Linked DNA regions of Drosophila melanogaster. The gene in region 4 interacts genetically with the main gene of each other region. Each region holds a gene or a part of one and is shown on either strand. Other genes may lie near its edges. The genes, in order: Myt1, Myb, Z600 and Cdk1.

Evidence for each region.
Region 1: of Cdk1 (region 4) and Myt1, changing one enhances a phenotype caused by changing the other (phenotypic enhancement), as found in Drosophila melanogaster (one study listed by BioGRID).
Region 2: of Cdk1 (region 4) and Myb, changing one suppresses a phenotype caused by changing the other (phenotypic suppression), as found in Drosophila melanogaster (2 studies listed by BioGRID).
Region 3: of Cdk1 (region 4) and Z600, changing one suppresses a phenotype caused by changing the other (phenotypic suppression), as found in Drosophila melanogaster (one study listed by BioGRID).

The regions. Positions count from the first base shown.
Region 1 is NT_037436.4:5,776,891-5,781,655, reverse strand, and holds Myt1 (Myt1), read left to right. Parts: upstream 1-2,064; 5' UTR 2,065-2,114; coding exon 2,115-3,069; intron 3,070-3,131; coding exon 3,132-3,277; intron 3,278-3,333; coding exon 3,334-3,698; intron 3,699-3,756; coding exon 3,757-3,892; 3' UTR 3,893-4,180; downstream 4,181-4,765. Other genes in the region: Pmi, read right to left, coding at 75-105, 659-819, 882-1,066, 1,124-1,272, 1,523-1,545; vito (viriato), read left to right, coding at 4,391-4,452, 4,512-4,765. UniProt on the Drosophila melanogaster protein: Acts as a negative regulator of entry into mitosis (G2 to M transition) by phosphorylation of Cdk1 specifically when Cdk1 is complexed to cyclins. Mediates phosphorylation of Cdk1 predominantly on 'Thr-14'. Also involved in Golgi fragmentation.
Region 2 is NC_004354.4:15,854,161-15,860,075, reverse strand, and holds Myb (Myb oncogene-like), read left to right. Parts: upstream 1-2,252; 5' UTR 2,253-2,399; exon of another isoform or gene 2,400-2,462; 5' UTR 2,463-2,548; coding exon of another isoform or gene 2,549-2,902; 5' UTR 2,903-2,971; coding exon 2,972-4,286; intron 4,287-4,350; coding exon 4,351-5,009; 3' UTR 5,010-5,244; downstream 5,245-5,915. Other genes in the region: AlkB, read left to right, coding at 767-883, 935-1,476, 1,539-1,878; CG46440 (uncharacterized protein), read left to right, coding at 2,549-2,902; CG15914 (uncharacterized protein), read right to left, coding at 5,369-5,915. UniProt on the Drosophila melanogaster protein: DNA-binding protein that specifically recognizes the sequence 5'-YAAC[GT]G-3'. Component of the DREAM complex, a multiprotein complex that can both act as a transcription activator or repressor depending on the context.
Region 3 is NT_037436.4:15,507,335-15,510,293, reverse strand, and holds Z600 (Z600), read right to left. Parts: upstream 1,234-2,959; 5' UTR 1,171-1,233; coding exon 898-1,170; 3' UTR 781-897; downstream 1-780. Other genes in the region: gdl (gonadal), read right to left, coding at 63-357, 413-558; gdl-ORF39, read right to left, coding at 626-745; CG7841 (uncharacterized protein), read left to right, coding at 2,444-2,495, 2,728-2,821. UniProt on the Drosophila melanogaster protein: Cell cycle regulator that is involved in modulating and adjusting cell proliferation according to the requirements of the developmental program. Interacts with mitotic Cdk1-cyclin complexes to inhibit mitotic entry at the G2/M transition.
Region 4 is NT_033779.5:10,383,842-10,387,877, reverse strand, and holds Cdk1 (Cyclin-dependent kinase 1), read left to right. Parts: upstream 1-1,615; 5' UTR 1,616-1,700; coding exon 1,701-1,849; intron 1,850-2,234; coding exon 2,235-2,738; intron 2,739-2,795; coding exon 2,796-3,036; 3' UTR 3,037-3,139; downstream 3,140-4,036. Other genes in the region: mRpS7 (mitochondrial ribosomal protein S7), read right to left, coding at 404-1,016, 1,091-1,134; CG5096 (uncharacterized protein), read right to left, coding at 3,251-3,682, 3,741-3,853, 3,917-4,011. UniProt on the Drosophila melanogaster protein: Plays a key role in the control of the eukaryotic cell cycle. Required for entry into S-phase and mitosis.

The DNA.
Region 1 (4,765 bases), on a different chromosome or scaffold from region 4:
TGGTGCTGTGAGTGGGTCAGCTCCTTACCGGATCGCACTGGAACACACCACTCGATCGATCGGAGTCGCCGCTGTCAACCACTGCCAGCAGAATGCACAAAACGACTGAGACGAGAACAAGGGAGAGAACCAGCCCGCATGAAGCACAACATTTCCATTAAATCATCAGCTACGAATTTCGAAGGGGTCTCTTATCGCACTCACTCTTAGACTCTCTTAGCTATGGAGTAACTTTAAAGCCGGGAGTAACATTCGCATCGCGTTTACTTGACTTTCGTTTGCTGATATCTTCAACTAGACTCTAATAACAATCATAAATGGGTTTCGCTTTATACACAGAGGTTGGCTTTGCTTAATTTACAGTGCAGAGGCTGCTCCTCCCTTAAGACTAACTTGGGCTTGGGGACCGTAATAAGTTATGAGCATGCTAGCCAGTGCAAGTGGCAGCCACGGGAACACTGGACATGGACACTGGTTTATGGGAACATTTAAAAGTTTCACGAAAGACAATACATTGTGTTAAAATCGTTCGAAAATCTAAAAGAAATGCATTCGCCTATGTGCCTAAACTTAACTTATTAGGTATTACGCGTCCGCGAGACAGGGGACAGGCCTAATCCAGCACCTGGACATTTCAGAGCTCCTGCAAATCCCTTACTTGTAGGACCTCCAAATCTGCCAGGCGCACAGGGCAGCCGAGAGCAAGGATACGCTACGGTGCAAGTATTTGGTTTTTGAGTTGGGCGAGTAGCCCAAAATCACAGGCGAGGAGACATCTGTCAGTGGCAGTTTCTCCAACACGGTGTCATTATTTTCCACCTGAAAAACACAACCAAAGTGAGCTTCTCAATCTTGGATATCTAGAACTTTTCCTTTCATACCTGATATTGACAACATGGATCGTAGTTCCAGGAAACCGTGTACAGTCCTGTGCAAAAAATCGAGAGTGCACAAGCGGGAGCTGCAATGATGGGGCGATCCCGCCACAGCAAGCTGGCCACCAGGGAAACCACTCCAGTGGCCACCGCCGTCTTGTGCAGGCAATTGCCCACCCAAATCCAACGACCTGTGGAGATATGAAATTAATACTGTGCTTTAAAAGGAAGCACTTCCAAGTGCTTACCAGTTTCGTCGCCCAGCCGAGGCGGCTCTATAACGATGAAGTCCAACTTGGCTTCCAGCGCCTTGTCCAGCTCAGCCTCGAATCTTTCATGGGCATTGGAGCTGTCGTAGACCTCGCGGATGACATGGAAAGTGGGCACCTTACTCGTGCTGCACAATTAGAACAACAATACACGAATCAATCATGGTTATCTTGATGTGGAACTCAAGGTTAAGGTCAAGATCAAGCGCTCAGAACAACCGAAGCAGAGAAGCCATTGTGCAGACGAGATAAATGAAGAAGCCGCCTAGTAAATTGCATAACCAGGGCAGGTGCACTTGGGAACTGGGATTTGGCTGCACCCAGGTGGAATGTGTTGCGTAATCCCACTGCATTCACGTAACTAGGCGCCGTATTTACCTTTCTATATTTCTGCTAACCATTTTGCTAATAAATTTGTTGTTTTCTATGTTGTTCATAAACTCAGTGCGGCCGCAGCTGGACCGTTAAAATATACCAGGTACCTAAGGGCATAATACTGCAAATAGCAATCTTCCAAAAAAATACCGCAGTTGGGCGGCACTTTTGAATTATATCGTATTCGCAAATACCATTCTCCTTTAAAGAGCGGCCTATATATAAAGGCTTAATTCCACTATTTAGCAATTTATTTGCTTATTTACCTATATTCATAAAGACAATTAGATTAGATTAAAGTTTTTAAAAATATTTCAGTATTTCTATTGTTCTTCCAACTACTCAACTCTCCCATCTCTATTTACGATAATTGAGGCATTTAAGAGGCAAATCATGTAAAATCTGTATACGATTATAGGAGCTTAACTTAATTGAAATCAATAATTATACTCCCAATAAAGATCAAAAATATAAGATACATGTGTTAAATGAATTAGCCGGCTCTTATTGTCCCAAGCGAAGAAGCCAGGATTTCGCCGGCTGTCCGATATGGTCACACTCGCCCACTCATAAGAAAAGACACCCAAAATTGAAAATGGAAAAGCATCATCGCCTGCCCCTCCCGGAATTGCACGACGACAAACACAGACACAAACAGTGCAATGGGGAGAACAGCAATCGCTTCCGGCCGCCCAAGTACAAGACGCGTGGCTACGTCGCCGTGGACAACAACAATCTGAACCGAAGCCAATCGCTGGGCTCCTGTAGCACCAACAGTTCCCAGATCGCGCACGCGATCTCCTTCCGGGACGCCGGATGTTCGGATTCCAGTACGCTGCCCTCGTCACCAGTCCAGGCCGAGCTGAGCACCCTCTCCCTGTCACACTTCGAGCAGTGCTTCGAAAGGCTGGCCAAACTGGGCGAAGGATCCTTCGGCGAGGTATTCCAGGTGCGCGATCGCTCCGACGGCCAGTTATATGCCGTCAAGATCTCCAAGCAACTGTTCCGCGGCGAACAGTACCGCGCAGAGCGGCTGGAAGAGGTGCGGCGCTACGAGGAGTTCTCCGGCCATGAGAACTGCATCCGGTTCATCCGCGCCTGGGAGCAGTACGACCGACTGTACATGCAAATGGAGCTGTGCCGCGAAAGTCTGGAGCAGTACTTGCTGCGCTGCCAAAGGATACCGGAGGAGCGCATCTGGCACATCCTGCTGGATCTGCTGCGGGGTCTCAAGTCGCTGCACGACCGGAATCTCATCCATCTGGACATTAAACTGGACAACGTTCTGATCGGCGAGGACGACGAGACGTGCAAGCTGGCAGACTTTGGACTGGTCATCGATGTGGACAGGGCCAACAGCCATCACGCCACGGAGGGAGATTCGAGGTATATGGCTCCAGAGATCCTGCAGGGTCACTTCTCCAAGGCTGCGGACATCTTCAGTCTGGGCATTGCCATGCTAGAGCTGGCATGCTACATGGATCTTCCTTCCAACGGCCCACTGTGGCACGAACTGAGGCACGGCATTCTGCCCGAGGAGTTCATAAACAGTGAGTTGCGAACTAGCTGCCTACTTAAATGGCAGGTTGCTAAAGCCTTTCTCTTCGCACAGAAATATCACTGGAGCTGCAGTCGGTAATTAAGTCCATGATGAAGCCCGATCCTGCGCAGAGGCCGACGGCCGAGCAGCTACTCTCACATCCCAAGCTGCAGTACCTGCAAAAGAAGCGCAAGTCGCTGATGAACTTCAGCATGCTGGTAAGCATTCCCAAGCACATCTTTGAGAATCAATCTTAACCCTTGACAACTTGCAGTCGCGTAGTTTTAGGCGATCTCGCCGCGCCGTTTGGGGAAGAATGTGCAATTGGAAAACAGCCGCCTTTCGTTACCTTCTATACTTCCTGGAGGTCCTGCATCTATGCAAGCCCATAACGGCCTCACAGCCCAATATTAACATAGTGCCCTCCTCGCCTTCGTCAAAGGGAGTGCCTCTGGTGCCTCAGGTGGAGTTCCAGCTGGTAGGATCCACACCCATTGCCAATCGTGACTGCTATGCCTCCGACTTCCTTTCCGGCGAGGACCCGCTGGACCTCTCCAATCAGGGTAGCCCCAACGTAATAAATTCCACGCCATTGAACACAAACCAAGGCAAATCCCGTCTGGATTTGCTAAAGAATAAGTAAGTACCCTTAATCGATTAGCTCATGGACTAGCGCACATAACCCATCCGCTTTCAGTGTTGATTCAATGGGCAGGTACGTTCATGTACACGATTTCGAGAGTCCGTGTTCCGCCCTATCTTCCGCCAAGGTCCTGGACACCTCATCGTTCCGACGCAAAAAGCTCTTCGTCCTGGAATATGACGACGAGTGAGTGAGTACGGTGCCAGCGAGCAACGTAAACCGAATGAATTTATGATAAACCCAATATATATCAGTTACGAAACGAATACCAGATACATATGGCAACAGAATATATCGTTAATTGTATTTTGATTAGTTCTAGACCGTAGTGTTGTACGAAGTTCCCTAGATATAGTCTTACGATTGTGTAATGTTAATGCTTCTTTAGAAGAACTTGTTGAACTTGAACATATAATCATGTGATATATATACGAAAAGCGATTTGAAAAGTTTAAAAATAAAAAACTTATTGAAATTGAAACCTGCACTGAATGCCATCTATGACATATGATAACAACAAATTAAAGGTAAAAACCAAGAAACGTATAACTATAAAAATTTTTTTTAAAACATTTTTGAATTCTAACGTACCTTTCGTTTCGGGGAAAAGTATTTTGCCCATCTGGTAACACTGGCCGCTCGCACATGTTGAAAACGTAAACAAAAACGAGTAGCACAATTTTTGAAAATGACCAGGAAAAAGGCTCCTAAGAAAAAAACAGAGGTTGTATTCGACAACAAGAAACGCATGTAAGTAAGGAGACACAGAATCCCCGGAGGATACTAATGCCCACATCCCAATCCCGCAGAGAGTTTCTCAGTGGCTTCCGGAAAAGAAAGAATGAGCGACGATCGCGTGCAAAGGCGGATCTGGAAAGAAACCTTAAGAACGAGCGCAAGCGCATACGGCAGGAGGTAAAGGATGGCTTTAACCACCTGAAGAAATCCTTCGAACCGCTGCGCGAGCTCACCGAGGAGGACAAGGCCGAGGAGGCGGAGCAGCAGCAGGAGGAGACCTACGAAGATGATGAAGTGCAGGTGAAGATCGTGGAGCTGACCACCA
Region 2 (5,915 bases), on a different chromosome or scaffold from region 4:
ATCGATAGCATTGATACATATTCGGCAGCCAGGCTGTTCACACTGCGGACGGAGAGAGCCGGCAAATATACCAACTTGTCTTTATTTATTCAAAGTTTATTTGTCAAAAGACGTTATATTTTAAAAACATATTTTATTTTATATAAACAATGTGGTACCCCTTTCTTTTGAACCGAATATAGTATTAAGCACGCCCCCTCACATGAAAGTAAAATAACTACAACATATATAAATATATAAATATGTCATATAAATATACCATTTTCTTATTTCAACTCCTTTTTTAATATTAATTCATAAAAATATAAAAAATAAAGATCTATTATCGCTCTGAAGTGTAATGTTCCCACTTGATTTTTTCCTGTGCAACCCTTAAGACGTATCTTCGACCGAAATAATGAAAACGATCACTGCAAAAACGTAAACAATGAAAAAATCGGTCTCAAAACAACAAAAATATTTCAAAATAGTTAAAAGTCCCGTTCATATATCGATAACTTTATATCGATAAGATTAATCACAAATGAATCACCTCATGAAAAAAGGCTTAAAATTTTTTCCATGAAAAGGACATTCGAGCTTTTTCGGCAATGTCTCTTATGAATTGCATTCATTTTTAATTTTTATATCTATCCCATAGTATTTCCACCACATGTCTGATTTCTAAACGTGCTCAAAAGCATTTAAGATTTCTCCAAACGCAGTCACACTATTGCTATCGTTTATATTAACTTATTGTTTATATTGTACTTATTGTTTATGAAGCATGTTCAAGCTAGTTTTTAAGCAGTACAAGTGCAAAAGTACCAGTCCTGATTTAACGGAAGTTGTTAAGATCGATGATTGTGTAGTCAAGGGGAATGATCAAGAAAAGAGTGATAATGTAAGTACTCGATCCGTTGCAATTGAATTATGATTTCTACATTCCCCTCAGAATATTGTTCAACGATTAAGTATCAGCAATGTAGAAAGCCTACAGACAATGCCAGGCGTTAAATCGCCAAAAGATTGGCGAACCTATACATTAACTAACCATCCCGGCATTATTGTGATTCGGAATCCATTCTCGGAACGAGGCCGGCGTTATTGGAGCGCCCGATGTCTGCGGGATTTTCCGCGAACGCCAAATATAGTCAATTTAAATGAAAGGCTCTTCGATGAATCCGTCAGGTCGGACTGGTGGAAACAGCTTAATCTGTGCAGCGATGGCGTTGAGTTCCAACGTATAAAATCCGCGATGCGTTGGACGACATTTGGATATCATCACAACTGGGACACGAAGATCTATGATGAGGAGATGCAGTCGCCGTTTCCCGAAGATTTGAGCAGTCTATGCGGATTGTTTGCGCAAGCGTTGGGATACGCGGATTTTAAGCCAGAAGCCGCAATTGTAAATTACTATCCAGTTGGTAGTACGTTATCGGGTCACACAGATCACTCTGAACCAAACAAATCGGCCCCTTTGTTTTCTTTTAGGTAATATATCACGGATTAAACATATCCGTGCAGCTAATTTTTTTTTAATTTTATGCTTACAGTTTTGGTCAGACTGCAATATTTCTAATTGGTGGAAGATCTTTAGAAGAAAAGCCAACCGCTATCTACCTTCAATCCGGGGACGTTATGATAATGTCCGGAGAATCGCGTCTATGCTATCACGCAGTTCCTCGTATCATCAAAACTCAGGCTTCCGCGACTTTATCACTGATAATTGAAGATGTCGATAATGCAGATATTAAAACGCGTACAATTGATAAAGATTTATTTCATGATGTTGGCAACCCTCAATTTTGGGAGCCTTTTTCGAGATATATGGACGATTCACGTATTAATATTAATATACGTCAAGTTTTAAATCCAGGAGATGTTAAGCTTTAACCCCTCCTTGGAAAAATTTTTAATTTTATAGTATTTTACAAAATAAAAAACTGCATTTCAATTGAAAACTAAAGAAACATAGCAATTAACGTTGAAGTGATGCGTTCAATGGAAATATCTTAAATGTATAGGTGAAGTTAATAGTTTTATAAATATATTTTTCAGTCCCTATAAATGCTACTGACAACTAAATTTGGCAATTCTGACAAAATTATTTTATCCGATGGCAACTTTTTAACAATATTTCCAAGAAGTTGATAGCTAAATATCGATACTATCCCAGCTATCGTACAAGATATTGACTTCTAGTGGAAACGTGCCGATTACCGTAGTGATTATTTATCGATAGATTTTAATCGTTTTGAATTACAACGCTAGTGCTCGTGTAACGGTCACACTAAGTACTACATTTAATATAATAAGATGCGACGCCGTAAAATTCCAGTGTGAAAACGTGAATGAACTGATCAAAAACACCAAAGTGTGTACCCATAGCCCAGCAGTTTGAATTTGAAATAACGGTAGCACCACTTTAGATGAAGACAAATGTGCGAGTGGTAATTTTTTTCCCCCGTTTTCCTCAGTGCTAAATATAGAGCATCAAAATGTTTGGCATAAACGTAATATCGTAAAACTTGCATCTGCTTTTTAGTTCGCTGCCTGAATGAGTATGTCCACAAATATCTGTAATCTTCAAGTAACAAAGAACACGAATCCAAACCAAAATCGCCTCGAGGAGCAGCAAACAAAACTATTCGATTTTGGGCGGACCGAGAGCGATGCGACGCACCCAATATTGCGCAGCGATCATCAACGTGAACTGGTCGACTGCCTGACGTGCGGAAATCAATTCAAGTGTAACTCGTACAGCGACATTTGCTCGCACTACATATTCTACCATCCGCATATTCTGGATCATTTGCCCAAGTGCTTGTACTGCAAACGCGACGTTCATCGTTTCCAGCGTGGGAACAAGTCAGAGCCGGAGATCTATCACTTTTGTTCGCCCCGCAAGCAGCGTTAAAGAACCCATACACATATATACAAAGAGCGCCATTATTCATATATATATACCTATAAAGTTGATCTTAAGATGGCAAGTGCGAGCACTGAAAACGGCGAGGAGCTGATGAATTACGGCAGCAATTCGGATTCGGAGGAGTCCGAGTACTCGGAGAACGAGGATACCCAAGTTTGCGACAAGGATTCACAACAGAACAGCAATGCCGATTCGGGCTATCCACTGGACTCGCCCGAACTACAGGACTCCAAGACGACGGGGCAAAAGGGACAGAACAAAAGCGGTAAAACTAGCATCGGTGCAGTGCATCCGAACTATGGATTCGGCAAACGCTGGTCCAAGTCCGAGGATGTGTTGCTCAAGCAGCTGGTGGAGACGCACGGTGAGAACTGGGAGATTATCGGACCGCATTTCAAGGATCGCCTGGAACAGCAAGTGCAGCAGCGTTGGGCCAAAGTCCTCAATCCGGAGCTAATCAAGGGCCCGTGGACGCGGGACGAGGACGACATGGTTATTAAGCTGGTGCGCAACTTCGGGCCCAAGAAATGGACACTAATTGCACGATATCTGAACGGACGAATTGGGAAACAGTGCCGCGAGAGATGGCACAACCACCTCAATCCGAATATCAAGAAAACGGCCTGGACCGAAAAGGAGGACGAGATTATCTACCAGGCTCACTTGGAGCTGGGCAACCAGTGGGCAAAGATTGCCAAACGTCTGCCCGGACGCACCGATAACGCCATTAAAAACCATTGGAATTCAACAATGCGTCGCAAATATGACGTCGAACGCAGATCGGTTAATGCATCTGGTAGCGATTTGAAGAGTTCGCGAACCCATCTCATCACGCTGATCAAGTCCGGTGGCATCAGCAAGTGTATGAATAATATGCAACATAACAAGGAATCTGGTGGTGAGGCAGTTAATAAATCCGAAAACGCCGATGGCGCTTCGGTTACTGCCGTGAAAGGTGGTGATCTGGCACAGGAATCACAAGACGATCATCAAAAGGGATCCAATCTGGCACACCTCAGTATGCAGCATCTCATTAAGTTGACCATGCCGCGCCAAACACCGATCATATTGAAGCGTACACGCAAACACATTCCCGAAACTCACCATCAGGCAGGATGTTCATCAAGTGAGACATTCAACCAGGAAGAAGCCGCCGGAAACGCCAGGTCGCGACCACCGAGTTCGCCCGTCATATCGCCCATTAAGTCGCTACCCTTTTCACCGAGTCACTTCCTCAAGTCGCCTTGCCTGACCACCTTTGAAGATATGGATCTGCGGGCTAGCACGCCGGTAACCAAGGTCTATAATCGCGTTGGAATGGAGATCAAAAAGGAAATGGAGACATCGTCGATAGAAACTCCACACAAGAGTAAGTACAAGCCACTGTTGGCTTCAAATGCATCTTGAATACACACAATCATCGTTATTTGTAGGTCAACTTGGACCACGAACACCAACGCCCTTCAAAAAGGCACTTGCTGCCATCGGCAAGAAGAGGGACGGTCGTCGATACGAGCCCTCCAGCCCATCCAGTCTGGTGGAGGATCTGGCCGAAATCATCCATGAAGAGCATCTGAGCAACTCGCTGACCGCAAACAATTCCAAAATGATGGGCGCCGCCGATCAGAACTCAACGCTAAGCACCGAATACAATGCTCAGTCGCCGCCGCATATGAAACGTGCCAGGAAGTCATTGCTCTCAACTTGGAGCTCCAATCATCCATACAACGCTGGCTCCGCCAAGAGGATTCAACCCTTCGAAACCGAGACGCCCAGCAAGTTTCTCACATCGCCGGGCGATATTTTGAAGGACACGCTGTGCAGCGAACAGGACCTGCCGTTCGACGAGGGCAGAAAGGAGAATCGACCATTCCATAATCGCAGAATTAACAAGTACCGCGGTGGCTTGACCTACGATCATGTCATTGATCCCAAGTGGGCACGCGTCGCTTGTGGCAAGTCCAGAGATCAAATGTTTATGGAGGAGCAGGCTTATGCGTGCCTCAAAAATCTGTCCTGTATTTCGCGCTCCCTGAACTTCGAGAAACAAAAGTGTTTGGTGAATTCGTTCGACCGCTTTGGTTCGCTCTAAATTCTATGTGGCTATATTCAGGTATTACAAACAAAATTCTATACGCATCATCTTTATAATATTGTAGATATGAATCCCCAAATTTTCATCCAAATTGTGTTTTCGAAATAGAATTTATTGTGCTACATTTATGGCATTATTGGTTACATCCACCTTAAATTGTATCCCATTTTTTTCGGATATTTCATAAATAAATAAATGCTTAAAGTGAATGAAGCGTGTTTTAACACAAAGGACTTACATATATATATCGTTTTTTTTTGGCTTTGTAGGTTACAGAAGAGAGATATATTTATTCAAAAATATATCTATTATATTACAGAGAATATTTTGATAGACATTTGCCAAACCTTCGATTTCTAACTTTGTTCGTCTGCAATATGTTTATTGAATATGTCCAGATATTTTGGCACTAGTTCTTTCGCCGAAAAACGATCGAAATTAAAGTTCTCAAAGAATTGATCGCGCTGCTTGCGAAAGACCCTCGGCATTCTACAAAAGTTGTAGAGCTTCTTCGTCAGCGCATTGGAGGTGTTGTAGAGGTTTTCCTTTGGGTAGATTTCCGGGTAGACCAATTTGTTGGGCGCAATGGGATAACAGCCGCAGAAAGCGGCCTCCAGCATTGCTACTCCAAAAAACTCATGGTCGGCAGTTGATATCACAATGTCCCCAGTCAGCAGGGTCTTCAAGTACTCTTCACGCTCCAGATGGCCAAAGTTCACCAGCTTGCTGCCCAGTTTCTCCTGTATATGCTCGAATTCCTCCGGTATCTCCTGGTAACTCTCGCCACAAATAGTCACCTTGAAGTCCACTTGTCGCTCATGGAGCTGACAGAGCGTATCCACCAGTAGTTTGGGATTCTTATCGTGCTCCCAGCGATGTGGCCAAATAAGATGGATGCACTTC
Region 3 (2,959 bases), on a different chromosome or scaffold from region 4:
ATGGTAAGACCAACTAAAAGTGCGTGGAATGGAACGACTCAAAAGGATATTGAATTCTTCACCTTTTGATCTAGTATTTCGATAATCTTCGTATCCGACTCGTGTAGTTTCTTAGTGTGCTTTATTTTCATGAGTCCCAAAATGTGGCGCAACTCCTCGGGATCCTTGATCTTGCTCCTCCACTCGGCCACTTCTATTTCATACTCGTTCTCCGCCTGCATCCGTATTTTAATTAAGTGTCTTTCGGTTTCGTGTTGCAGCTCCATTAATGCTTTTACTATTACAAAAATGCCATCGTTTAGCACACAATTGGCGAGTTCGGTGAGTAGATCGTAGGAAATGCGTGTCTGCAAGTTTCTGTTAATCAAAAATGGCGTTAAATATTTAAATAAACTAAATATCAAGGACTTACTCGGGAAGTTCCGAATGGTAAGTTCGCAATTGGTCCACCAAAAAATAGATTTTGCGTTGTAAAAACTCCGGAGTTGGCTGCTGATACTCCACTACTGCCTCACTAGTGTTCGCACTACCTTCGCTGGTTGCCGGTATGTCCGCCATCTTAACTAAATTGTGATTTCCTATTTATTTACAATAATTTGTGTAATATTCCCAAGTATTTGTGTTTTTAGTGATGTTTTGTGCAACCGCACTCCAATTTCGCCTCTTCGCCGCACGAACAGCTGAGCGCCAGGGCTGCAAACTGCAGCAGCAGCAGTGTGACCACAATCAGTTTGGCTGCCCACATAACGGTAAGTCAGAGAAAGACGCGGAAAGTAAAATGTTTCAAAAGTATTTATATATATTTTTGTTGTATCAGAGCGTGAAAAGAATTGTGACTGTACGATTTGAAATCAATGATGCTTATGACTAAGGTGATTACATCGGTTCGTATTATGATTAGAAGTTCAAAGATTTGCGAGCCTTGATGAAATTCTTATCAGCCTCGTAAGTGTACATGCGATTCAGTTTGTTTTTGCGGCGCTTTTTGAGTTCGGTTTGGAACTTTCCGTGTCCTGAGCTGCTGGGGGTGGCTGGTACCAGGGAATACTTCTTGCTGTCCAGGGAGTAGCACTCGCGTTTTCCGAACTCATGCTGCTCCTTTGGGGTTTCCACGATTTTCAGGCTGTTCAGGCGCTGCAGCACTTGGTTGGTTTCATTTGTCGACGACATAATAACTGCTAGGCTGGCTGATCAGGAAGTTAATGTGAAGCTTGACGTTGCTGATTTGCTACTGATTTCCTTTTGCCCACGGCCTTCTTTATATCCACTTGAGTGTGCAATTTCAGGACTGCCATAAATATCTGCGCGGAAAATACAGCTTATCCGTTTTCCACATCTGTCACTTTTATGGTGCTACCTGCTCATAATTAAAATTTCCGCAGAAAATTCTCGCTAATCCCTTTTTAATGCGTTCAGAATTACGCGAGCAGGTAGTAATGGGTTTTAGTCTACCGCCATAAAGTCCGCCTTTTACAAATCGCAATAAATTAGAAAGGAATTCGTAACAATTTCCAAATTTGGTGTTTAAAGTGCATAACTTTTTAATGGAGTATATTAATTTCTTACTTTATAGATAATAATTCCTTAAAGATAATATAAAAATATAATTTATTGGATCTCCAAATGCTTTCAATTATATTGGATCTCTAAATGCTTTCAATAATCCAATCTTTTAAATGTAGCCTCTAATCAATTAATACGCTTTTAAAAAAACGCGCGCAGGTGAAAGAACCCACTGCCGTTTTAAAGTGTGTACATACTGGCGAAATCATATGGTGGGCATACACGTGTATCGGTTGTACAGTTTATGCGTTAATCGACTTCGCGAACTACGAAACCTAAAGCTGATTGCTATTATAAAATAAAGACTTTACTAAACAATTGATAGTGCCCATTATAGTTGAAAGCCTAAAGAAATAAACGCTTATCAAATAAAATCACTGCCGTGGGTTACTGCCATGAAGAAATTATGATCTGCTGAAAGTCGAGTTGTCTGCCGCATGAACGCCCTAACATACGGCTCTTTGCGGGTGTCTCTCTTAACATTTCGTTATGCGATTTGAATGGGGCAGTTGCATTGGAGCCTCGTCCGCCGAACACAGAACATTACAAACGCGTTTCCAGGAGTAATTGTCGGTGATTTTAATCGAAAACAATTGATACGAGCGCGGTGCGGCAGCCATCAAAATCAAAGAGTGCTAAATCGGAATCACTGCCCTAAGTGAAGTGTATTGTGTAACCTTTTGAGACGATGACAATAGGCCAAAAGGAGGCGGCGTGGGGCAGGCTGGGCTGCCAATGATCATATGATTGCCTAGAGCGGAAAAATACTCAAAATCATAGCAGTCGGCTAGGCATTTCGTTGCCAGAAACGAAAACAACAATACGTAAATCGAAAGGACAAGGTATATTTTCAGCCGGTACTCCCCATCTCCCCACCACCATGTACACAATCAACAAGGGACCTAGCAAAATTGTTGCTAAAACGCGTCGCGGTGAGTCCAAAATATTGATAGTAATAATGGTTAATAATGCCACAATAGACCCTTTCAAGAGAACAGCTGTTATGTCACAAAAACATACTCTTTTCCTTTCTCTCTCTCTCTCTCTCTATATATCTGCCTCTGCCTCTCTTGCTCTCTGGCTCTGTTAACTTTTTGTTTTGCCGGCGTTTTCCACAGTAAATGCGTATTTTATAGCTTTCCATGGCATGTTTTCCATCCGCAGGCCTGGCACCAAATTTTGAAAAATTCGAAAGCATCAAGGAGAGCGGCCGCAAGAACGCTAGTTTCGATCTGAACAGTCCCGAGGAGCACAAAAAGTAAGAATGCCATGCTCATATGTAACCATACCCAAATCTTGGGTGCTTATGCAAACGGATGGCACATGGTGAAATGTGGAAAGCGGGAAAAGTGACGGGGGAAAACGCGGACTGGGGTTCAAGACCCTCGTCTTATCG
Region 4 (4,036 bases):
CTCTGTTATTAAGCTGTGCTATAATTTTAAATTAAATTCAGAAGCTTAAAACACGACGAACCAGGTAAATGGGTTGAAGAAATTTATATAAAAACTTAGTATAAGTGTAATAAGAAAAACTTTGGGTTTCAATAGCTATAACACCATTTGGAAAATCCAATTTTCAAATCTACTATAAACAACGTATAAGGAAAAATAAAGAAAAAATATTAGAAATGTGTTTTTATAATGGTATCATAGCTTCATACAATTTTACTAAGGTCCTCGTTTTTAGTCCCCATAAATCCAGGAATTATTTCGATATTCCGCTCTCTTAAGACATTCCCCGGACACAAATCCTAATCATAGATATTAACAGGTATATGAAAAGTTTATTGCATTGGAAAAACAGTTTGTTGTGCATTTAGCTCCATCGGTAATGTGCGTAGGCGCGGTTGCTTTCGCACAGCCTGTGCAGATCGTCCTTTCGCTTGATGACCCTTCCCTGGCCATGGGCTGCGTCGAGAATCTCCCAGGCCAACTTTTCCGGCAGGGACACCTTACGCTCCTTCTCGCGGGCAGCTTCCAAGAGCCACTTCATGGCCAGAAAATATGACCGCTTCGTGGTGATGGGAACAGGGACTTGATAGGTGACACCACCACGTTTTATGGCGGTCACTTGAAGGAGCGGTCGGCAGTTTTCAACCGCTTGTTTCAGAAGCGTTTCGGGATTGGTGTTTATGGTTGTCTTCTCCCCTTTGGCCAGATTCATGTGCTCCGTCTGGGTTCGTTTTATTAGCTCCAGCGTCTTGGACAAAAGCGTTCTGGCCAAGGCACTGTTCCCCTTTTTCGTTATATAATTGATCATTTTATGTTTTGTATCGTCGTGAAAGATGGTATCAGACGATTTGTTGACCGCCGCCTTGATGGGCACATGGTAAAGCTTGGACAGATCATTCTTTTGCTCTAGTTGTTTATATTTTTGTACAATTGGTTCGACATAGTGTGTGGGATACACCGACATCAATCGAAGGCAGCTACAATAAACAAATGGGTGATCAGTCATTTGTGTTTTTAGAGATAAGTAACACTTTAGAGAAGTTTAACTTACCTGAGCCTTGAAGTTTTCTCTGCAATCCTACCTAAAAGCGACATGTTTACATCGTCTGCTGTGTCGGCAAAAAATAAAAAAACTATGTTATATATATGTTATGCACATTTGCGGCATGCATATAGGTGTGTCAAGATATCGACAAAGAGCTTAGTAATTTTGAAACAACAAAAATGAAGTAAAACAGTTGCGGTATTCCAATTACATTTTTTAAATTAATTTCTTTAGTACCGTACTACTGGTACTCACCTTCAAAAGATATAAAATAGAAATTAATTGCACCAAAAACTCATAAGTTAATTAATAGTATATTAGCAGAAACGTTTGTCTCCGAACTCAAACAAAGTGATGTCTTAATTAATTGAAATCACTATAAAAAAAAGCGTGGAATTTTACAGTACACTAAAATTAACTTTAAAAAAATTAACAACATTTTTAAGATACAGCAATTCAATAAGTTGCCTGAATATTGAGTTTCATTCCCACATTCCAAATGAATAAATGTAGCTAGCTTAGCATCGTTTAAACTGTCTGGTAATACTAGAGCATATACGTCAAAAACGCGCTAATTTAAAAGTCGGTGGCTTGCAAAGAAATAGCTTAATAAATTATGGAGGATTTTGAGAAAATTGAGAAGATTGGCGAGGGCACATATGGCGTGGTGTATAAGGGTCGCAACCGCCTGACGGGCCAAATTGTGGCAATGAAGAAAATCCGCTTGGAGTCCGACGACGAAGGCGTTCCATCAACCGCGATCAGGTAAAATGCCGCGGCTTGGACGCCCAAGCCTCAAAATGTTTCATGTTCTTTCGCGACTTTTCCATTCAAATGGCTTATATGCTTAATTGAAAGTATGTTCCTTGACATCTTATGGGTTGGTTTGAAGATTTTGCAATATTGTTTTTAATTTATACTGTGGAAGTCTAGCATAATTATGTTACGGCTTATGTTCATCATACATATGTGTGTGTATGTACAATCCTATATGCGTACTTATGCTCATGTGTACATCATCATACTTTCTATTTATGTTTATTAATTGGAAGCCTGCGAATACTTTCTGGTTCAACTGATAGACCAATAACTAAAATACTTTAATCACATGTTTTTTCTATAATGTAGTAATATTTAATATCCATTACAGAGAAATTTCGTTGCTTAAGGAGTTGAAACATGAAAACATTGTCTGTTTGGAGGATGTTTTGATGGAGGAGAACCGCATATACTTGATCTTTGAATTCCTATCGATGGACCTCAAGAAATACATGGATTCGCTGCCAGTTGATAAGCACATGGAGAGTGAATTGGTCCGTAGCTATTTGTACCAAATAACTAGCGCCATTCTTTTCTGCCATCGTCGGCGAGTACTTCACCGTGATCTTAAGCCGCAGAACTTACTAATCGACAAGAGTGGCCTCATAAAAGTCGCCGACTTTGGACTTGGCCGATCCTTTGGCATTCCGGTGCGCATTTATACGCACGAGATTGTTACCTTGTGGTACAGAGCGCCGGAGGTGCTACTGGGTTCACCCCGGTATTCCTGTCCCGTCGATATCTGGTCCATTGGATGCATATTCGCGGAGATGGCAACGAGAAAGCCGCTATTCCAGGGTGACTCGGAAATTGACCAGTTGTTTAGAATGTTTAGGTAACCACAGGTAATTTACTTTCTATTCCCTGTGATACTCACACTCATTGATTGCAGAATTCTGAAAACACCTACCGAAGACATTTGGCCGGGCGTTACTTCGCTACCCGACTATAAGAACACGTTCCCCTGCTGGTCCACGAACCAATTGACCAATCAGTTAAAGAATCTCGATGCGAATGGTATTGATCTCATACAAAAGATGTTAATCTACGATCCAGTTCATCGCATTTCCGCCAAGGACATTTTGGAGCATCCCTATTTCAATGGTTTTCAATCGGGCTTAGTTCGAAATTAACGTTCGGTATTCTCGTTTGACTTTAACTAAGAATTTTAAAACAAGAGATCTTGGTATCTAATCTAAAGCAAAATAGCCGTAAATAAAACTAAGGGTGTAAAACAATCAACGTTTACTTAATTTATGTAAGTGTATTTACAGATTTACGCCAAATTACCAGCGCTCTAACAGAATAATAAGGCTTCAAGGCTTTAATTATTATACAAAAAGAAAGTTAAATATGGAAATCCTCGTTGAAACTAGTCCTATTATAGAGAGCACTGCTAGCACCGCTGTCATGACGTCTAAAGACGCCAAAGCAGCCGCGCCTCTTCATCACGTAAGCACCAATGATGGTCGGCACCGCGATGAGCAGGACAACCAAGAGTCCAACCCATATAAGACTGCCCGTCGAACTTTCTATCATATGTTCATTCGCCACTCTGAGCAGCGTAACATCGTTTAACTTGTTCGGACCGCCACATTTGACATCTTTGGCCAGAACGGGCGTGGTCTTGTTGATTCGATCTATCAAGACGTTGATCAAGAAGTCATTGGATTCGTCGCAATTCCACGGGTTGAATCTAAGATCCAGAGCCTTAAGTTTATCCCAGCGCACTAGTAGTTCTTTCGGCAAAGTCGACACGTTGCAATTATTCAAGTAAACCTAAAAGTTTATGTTATTTAGTTGATTAAAGCTCTACATGCTTTTGCACTTGAATTACCTTTTCCAATGGCGGGTAGTCCAAGTACTGGCCACCAGTTACGTTCTTGGATAGAGCCTCCTCATCAATTTCATTTAGCAGTTTGTTGTCGGACAATATCAGTTCAGTTAAACCTAAAGAAAGATGGTTGTTCGATTAAGCCATTAGCCATTAGTGCGCGCAGGTTCACAACTTACTTTGCAGTTCACTAAATGCTCCTGGCCCAATTTTGTACAACTTGGACATAAAAGTCATGCTGAGGTGGGTCAATTTGGTCAAAGGTGGAAATACACTGAAAAAATTAATAAATATATTGT